2 linked regions of the Ovis aries genome follow. The protein of the gene in region 2 purifies or fractionates together with the protein of the main gene of each other region. This does not show direct contact. Links are inferred from orthologs where the notes say so. Each region holds a gene or a part of one and is shown on either strand. Other genes may lie near its edges.

Region 1 (4,080 bases), on a different chromosome or scaffold from region 2:
TGTGGAATAGAGTAGGTAATGCAGTTGGCGAGGTGAGGGGCTTTAATAAAGGATGGCTTGCTTCCCTTCCCCGACTTTTTGCCCCTGGCATTTTACTTCTGCTAACAGTTATTAGTATGCCAAAGAAGGCCAGGTCAGCTCTTCTGGAGAAACAGAGCTGCCCAAAGGACACTGGCCCCCATCACTCACCTTTTCTGCCATGCCTTCTTCTCCTCCAACAAAGAAGTCTGTTTTGCGTCGAAGGAAGCTGAAGAAAGTGTTCACCAGCTGAAAGGAGACAAAGACAGAGGCTGGAGAGATGCCATATTGGGGGCCCTTCAACTGCACAGAAGCGAACTCTCTTAGGCTAGGAGGGAACCTGGGACTAGACTGTTTCACCCCTGGCCTCTCAACTGAGGACACATCCCCCTACAGGCCCAGGCTTTGTCACTCCTGCCAGGAAGCCTAAACTAACTTTACCCAGATCACCTGAAAGGCAGATTTCTCATTTCTTTTTATTTTTGGCTGCACAGGGTCTTCATTGTGACACACAGGCTTTCTCCAAGCTGTGGTGAGCAAGGGCTGCTCTTCATTGTGGTGCACAGGCTTCTCACTGCAGCAGCTTCTCTTGGGGAGCACAGACTCTCAGGCATGGACTCAGTAGCTGCGGCACACAGGCTTAACCTTAGGCACTCCATGACACGTGGGGCCTTCCCAGACAAGGGATCGAACCCATGTCCTCTGCACTGGCAGGCCGATTCTTAACCACTGGACCACCAGGAAGTCCCAGATTTCTCACTGTCTCGTGTGCACGTGTATATATACTTCACATTTTTTTGTGGTGCTGCAGGCAGCCTGAGGATATGGGCATCTAGGGTTTGAAACACTTGGGGCCCACCCTTCCTCTTCACATGGTAAAAAACCCATCCAGAGTGGCACTGGCTGAGTTACTAGGGCAGAGCTAGAAGAAAGGGAACAAATGAAGCCATTTGAAAGAAAGTTCAGACCAACTAATTATGGCTGGGTAGCCAAGTGGTTTAAGAACATCAGTCTGGGTATCAAGACTGACAGACATGAGCTCTGTGACCTTAGGAAAGTTTCTTAACTCCACAAAGGAGAAACAGCAGCAGGACCTATTTCCAGGGATATACGTGAGGATCCTTTGTGAGAACCAAAGGAAGTAAAGGGGGTGAGGTCCCTAGCAGTGTCTGGTCCAGAGCAACAGACACTCTGTGGGAGACTGAAGTACATATTGCATGCACCATGAACATCCTCAGCGCCCAGCACCAGACCTGACTCCGAGTACATGCTCAATAAACATTCTGATGAACGAAACGATCTAGTGGTGACCTAAGGTTAGCATCTACAACTAAGCCCTTTTATTTGCCCAAGAGAGTGGTTCTAAATCCGATGCTAGATTTTATCTCAATGGCTTCAATTCCTGCTTCTACACAATTTTTTCAGTTTGCTCAAAAATGAATACCCTCCAAATCCAGTTGTGTCAACAATTTGGGGAAGGGCGGGGAGAGGGAGCCTTTCACATCCTCAAATAGTACTCTTCCGACCTCAAAGGGCTTAGGAGTCCTTGGTCACCACGGGTACCCACCTGAATGAGAACCAGAATGGAAAGCTCCAAACTTTTATCCCAGAGAGACACAGAACCTGAAATGGTCTGTGGAAAGCACACACTGGCCTAAGGATGCTGGTCCCCTCCAGGTCAGGAGCCTGTTGGATGATCTTGGGCAAGTTCCTTCAGTGTCTTTAATAAGAAGACAGATCTTGACAGGCTTTTCTACCTTTTGAACTTTTCCATGGCTCAAAACAATTCCAGGACCTCTTCTAAGTTGGTCCTTATCCTTCACCCACTCTGTTACTGGGTCTGGTCACTATGCAGGAAATTATGTTCCTGCACACATCAATCATTCGAACAAATACCTGTTGACTGCCCAAGCCTGGTTACTGAGAATTCCTCGCTGTCCCTCCCTTCAAGACACTACTCTCCTACAAATTCAGGAAATATAAGGATTCCTAGCTGTGTCTCAAACAAAGAAACTGAGGCTGGGAGACGTCGAAGGGTCCCAAGTTGGTAGGTGCGCTGTAGAACAATCGTGAACATAGGCCTCCTGTTCCCCCATTCAAAGACCACGTGTTAATATCGCCTCCCACTCTCACATTCTTCCGCTAGCTGCAAGTCTCCGTACAGGCAAGTCGTAATGTTTAGAAAGATTCATCCCAAGGGATGCTCTTTGGGGGCGGCCACCAACGAAGAAACGGAGCCGAAAGCATGTGGCGGGGGCGAGGGGGGTGGTGGATAGGGGGGTAAATCCCCAAACTCTGGGGCTTTTCCGGAGGCGGGTGCAGCGACGCCGGAGCTGCAAAGGCAGAAACTACTGAGAGGTCTCAGGGGGGACCAGGCCTGGTACGAGTGAAAGCCCTGGTACGACTAGGCCAGACCGGAAGCTCGAGTGCAGTAAGAATGTGGAGGGGAATCCCAGAGCCCGCGAGGCCCAGGGGTGTATCTCGGCTTCTCGAAGGCAGAGAAGGACGGAGAGAGCGTGGCTGGGGCCTTCCCCCGGATAGGCCGGGCCCAGCCAAGTCCGCGCGGGCCGTTACCTCCTGCACGCCGCCCTCGTGCTGCTGCGCCATGGCCAGCAACATGCCGTCGAACCGATCTTCCTCCTGCTCCCCGCCCATCGTGCCAGCTGCTAACCACGCTCCGAAACCCGAGCTCCGCACTGGCGTCCCGCGCTCCCCGACCCTTCGGATCGCGTCCGGTCCAACGGCTCCAGTCCTCCGCCTTCCGCAGCGGAGCCGGAAACACGCAGGCGCCGCGCCGCCCAGGCCCACCCGCTCACTCTCACGTCCCGCCCCGCTTCGAGCCTGCGGCCATTGACCACGGGGCAGATAGCCCGCTTTGTCGGCCATTGGTCGACCTGCTGAGCCAATCAAAGAGCGCGTTCCTGAAGCGGTGGGCGGAACGGAAGGTCCCAGAGTTTGGTGTGAGTTGCTATGGTCACCAGACGCTTTTTGGAGCCTTCCAGAAAGGTCTGGGCACAAATCCGGCTAGGTTGGAACTGAAAAAAAGGCACAGACTTTGTTCTTACGCCTTGGCCGTGACTTCCCAGCTTGTAGAAGGGTGAAGTGGGAAATGTTCTTAGTTATCTACTCTAACGCTCCCATGAGTCAATCGAGACCCCAAAAAAGGAGAATGGACTCGCGCAGAGAGCGGTCTACCTCCGTCATCATCACATGCTCTATATAAATTGTGCAGTCGCAGGGGCCCCGGACTTAGAAGGACTCTGTGATTGGATTAATCCTCTTCTGCTGCAATCTGAAATTTTTGAACAAGAGAGCCCACATTGTCATTTTGCACTGGTCCCGGCAAATTATGTAATGAATGATGTGTTCAACCTCACTTCTGTTAATGTGTGGGACAGGTGCCAGTCATCGAAGGCCAACCACTTTACTTTTTCATTGAATTTCATCTTCTTAGTCTCTTCAGGGATTCTACTCTTGTTATTATTCTTTTCTAAATCTCCTGAATCACAATTTTCTTTCTTCTGGATTATCCCCTTCAACTCACATTTAACTCCACTTCTATTGTATGCTCCCACTTTCTCTTCCTACTACCCCAATTTTCAATTCTCTTTCACACCAAAACTTGAAAAGATTGGTATACGTGTTTCTCCACTTGATCGCTTTCCATGACTTGCCAGGGGCGGTGGCCTGGAGGAGCAACCCCACGTCCAAGGAGCGGTGGCTGCCCTGGCACAGGAGGGCCTAGAGGAGCTATTCCACCTTCAAGGTCAGGAGGGGCAGCGGTGAGGAGATACCCCTTGTCCAAGGTAAACAGCAGCGGCTGCGCTTTGCTGGAGCAGCCATGAAGAGATACCCCACGTCCAAGGTAAGAGAAACCCAAGTAAGATGGTAGGTGTTGCAAGAGGGCATCAGAGGGCAAACACACTGAAACGATAATCACAGAAAACTAGTCAATCTAATCACACTAGGACTACAGCCTTGTCTAACTCAATGAAACTAAGCCATGCCCATGGGGCCACCCAAGACAGGCAGGTCATGGTGGAGAGGTCTGACAGAATGTGG
Region 2 (3,500 bases):
TAATGAGTGACTGGAGCTCGCCCCCAAGTCCAGGAGAGCAGGTACGCCCAGGCTAATGGGCAGTGGCTCACTGAACTGAGCAGAGCAGCCTTGACACCCAAGGGTAGACCACGGCTCCCCACAGGTAACAGGGACATGTAAGGTGGCCAGGTGGGATCAAGGTCCTGAGGAGCTCAGTGGCAGTGAAACCCCAAACAGCAACTCTACATGGGCAAAAGCGGGGGTTCTCTCCAACACAAAGAAGGGCCAGGACAAGGGGGTGTGCTTTCTGGCTAGTGGCCTCAGAGGCTGGGCCACTGGGCTGTAACCACAGACCACTAAGCAAAAGCATCCAACTGTAACCTTCAGGAAGGTGAGGTTTGGCCTGCAGATAAACTCAGCAGGTCACACCCGTAGGAAGGCAGGCTGAGGACCATGAACCTCCACAGCGGGGTGCCGGCTGTAACCTGGGACTCTATGACTCCACTAAACATCCTGGCCACTGCCCACTGCAGCCCCAGGCTTCTTCCCTGAAGGATGTTCAGCAGGACAGAAGCCCGTTGTCCCTCTCAGAGGCTGCTCAGAAGTAGACCTCCTTGTGGGGGAGGGGAGGGGCAGTGAGGTAAGGGAGAGGGGACTTTGAACTAAGTACGAGTCAGTGTTGGGGTGGCCGAGATACCCTTAGCTCCTCCAGAGCACAGGCGTGCATCAGATGGTGAGAAGCACTGCCAAGGGGCAGCACCCACAGGAGGCGCAGAGCCCGGCTGAGATATCCACACAGGAACAAGGACGGCAGTGGTCATCCAGCTCTACATCTGAGGGGAGCCTCCAGAAAGGATAGTCCATGGCCATGCTGGTCCTAAAAGGAGGGGCCAGGGACCCTCCAACCTGAATGGGGCAGCTCTGGCTGGGGCTGAACACCTCAGTGAGAGCCTCAACTCCAGGAGAGGACGTGAGCATGGAAAACAACCGACGACCAAGCCTAAGGTGGCACGAGATTTAGTGCAGACACTTCTCCAACACACACCATTTCGAAAACAGGTTGCACTCTAAGACCTCGATGGGGACTTCACCTTGGAACCCAAGCCACACTCTAGCTTCCAGGAACGCACACCGCCCAGCACAGTGGGTGACTGGCTGACGGGCTGGGCCTTTGGTCAGGCGCAGCGCTGTCTGGACTTGCAAAGGGGCTGAAAGGTGTGAGCCCAGCCACAGGCCAAGGCAGAGAGGCTCACTTCTTCCCTGGGATGCCAGTTTCTTACGAAGTTACTATCAGACTCCTGACTGCTAACACATAACAGAACCTTCCGTGTACGCCTTTAAAACACAGTGACAGGAAATGTTTTTAGTGTTATACTCCTCTGGATGCAATGAGGCTATTTTTAACCACCCTCTCAGACTTGATTTCCAATTTTATCCTATAAAGTTCTAATTCATTCCACCTCCCCTGATCTCTCACTTGACGAGGCTGTGAAGAACACGAGGCAGGCTGGGCGCTTTCTGACGGCTCTGCGGTGGGGAATGTTTTCTAAGTCTTTGCTTCTCCCCCTCGCAGCACAGGCCTTCTCTTCCAAGGCTCAGGGCGCTCAGGGATGTCAGTGTGATGCGCATACAGTCTCACCATCCCCACTAGTCACTGACGCCTGACATTTCCCCTCAAATGTCCATCCGGCAGTGGGTCCAAGCCGTGCCGTACTAGCTGGGATCCTGTGACACGTGGACCACGTGACGCCACGTGAAGGAGCTCTTAGAACTTAGCCTGGAGCCAGCGGTACAGAAGAGACACCATGCCACTTCACCCCCATCTCCATCAGAGATTCAAGGGTACTCTGCCTCCTTCCTACGCCCTCCCTCTACCTGTGAGCTGGCACAGGAGAGGGGTCTACACCCAAAGCCAAGATGGGCAGGAGCCTGAGGACCTTTACATCCTGCGGTCGCCCAGGCGCCACGCCACCTACATGCCTCACGCTGGCTGTGCTGGACTCTGCTCACTGCTTGGATGCGCTCGTGGTCCCCACCTCCACCCCCAGCCCAGGCCTGCAGGCATCCTGCTGCTCCCTGCGCAGAACTGCTCTTCTGCCCCAGGACGAGAGGCCCCCTGGGTATGCCCACGGTGCTGGCTGCCACCTCTCGCCAGGGCATTCTGCTTCACTGAAATCTCTGCACTGCACAGACCGCTGTCCATGAGCAGCCAGGTACATGTGTGCGCCTGGTGGAGGGGGGGCCACATGGGCCTCAGGGATGAGGGTGGTCAGTGCCGCAGCTAACATTTATGGAGCAGCTACCCAGGGGTAGGCACAGGTCCAACACTGCTTGCAGACTCATCGCCTTTAATTCTGACCACAAACAGGGCAGGCTTGGGACTTCCCTGGTGGTCCAGTGGCTAATACTCCGCACTTCCCAACGCAGGGGCCCTGGGTTCGATTCCTGGCCAGGGAACTAGATCCCACATGCCACAACTAAAGATCTTGCGTGCTGCAACTAAGACCTGCTGCCGCAAACAAATGAGACATGGCAAATGCGTGACAGACAAGCACGCTGGGACCTGGAGAGCCACACGGGTATCTCTAAGGCTGCTCGGAGGACAAGGAGCAGCGCCAGCTCAAACCCAGAGCCTGGCTGCCTCTTGGCGCCTTGACTCTCTGTGCACAGTTCTTGCATGTCCCCAGAGTGCCCACCCAGTGAAGACTCGAATGAACGGACAGTGCTTCTTTCAGAGCTCTGCTGCGGCCCAAGCCAGCACTGGGTGGGCACTCCCTGACAGGATTCAGTGTTGGTGATTTTGGGGTCCAATGGCTTGGTCAGGGATTGAATGGCTGGAGAGACAGGATCCCAGGGCAGGCACTGCCATTTCATTCATTTGGGCTGAAGAGTAAGTACACTATAATTATGTTTTTTTAAAAACCCAGGACTGGCAGGCCAACTTCAAATGGCCTGAATGCCAGGCCGAGTGCAGATGGGGGGAGTCACGTCACAGCCTACCTGGGTGAGGACGTCCAACTGGCCCACGATGTGCTCCAGCGTGCTGGTCAGCGACTGGGGCATGCTCACGGGCTCCTGGGATTGGCTCTGCATCGACTCCTGACTTCTGCCCCTGCCTGGCGGGACGAGGGGGTCCACTTCTGGCTGAAGACGATGAAAGGAAAGAGAGCCCTTTAGTCTTAAGGAAACAATGAGGAAAAGAAGAGCCCCTCAAAGGATCAAGGGGAAAATCACCAGCAAACTTGAGAAGACGAGTTCCAAATGTTGGTGAGCAAGGGCGGGACTCCACCTCTGGGCCCTCCTTTCCAAGTGGAGACTGAGAGCAAGGAGCAGAATCAAAGTAATTGGCAGTCCAGGCTGCAGGGCCCTGAGAGGGATATCAGGTTGGGCTCTTCGACGTCCTCATGAGAGGCCACAGGCTGCCAGCTCTTTACAAGACCTGTAACCTTCAGTGTGACGCCTCTCAGAGTCCAGGGCCCCTGAAGTCTATGCTGGACCCTGAAGTCACCCTTCCTCCTAGTTAGCCCAACGACCACTCC

The links. Proteins that work in one complex are often made in the same cells at the same time.
Region 1: the proteins of POC1A (region 2) and NUDC purify together in Homo sapiens (co-immunoprecipitation; 3 studies listed by BioGRID and IntAct, with this or other methods). This does not show direct contact. The link is inferred for Ovis aries from reciprocal best matches to the Homo sapiens genes POC1A and NUDC.

Annotation. Positions count from the first base shown.
Region 1 is NC_056055.1:240,012,559-240,016,638, forward strand, and holds the start of NUDC (nuclear migration protein nudC), read right to left. Parts: upstream 2,801-4,080; 5' UTR 2,674-2,800; coding exon 2,593-2,673; intron 268-2,592; coding exon 190-267; intron 1-189. UniProt on the Homo sapiens protein: Plays a role in neurogenesis and neuronal migration. Necessary for correct formation of mitotic spindles and chromosome separation during mitosis. Necessary for cytokinesis and cell proliferation.
Region 2 is NC_056072.1:48,858,058-48,861,557, reverse strand, and holds part of POC1A (POC1 centriolar protein homolog A), read right to left. Parts: intron 3,106-3,500; coding exon 2,962-3,105; intron 1-2,961.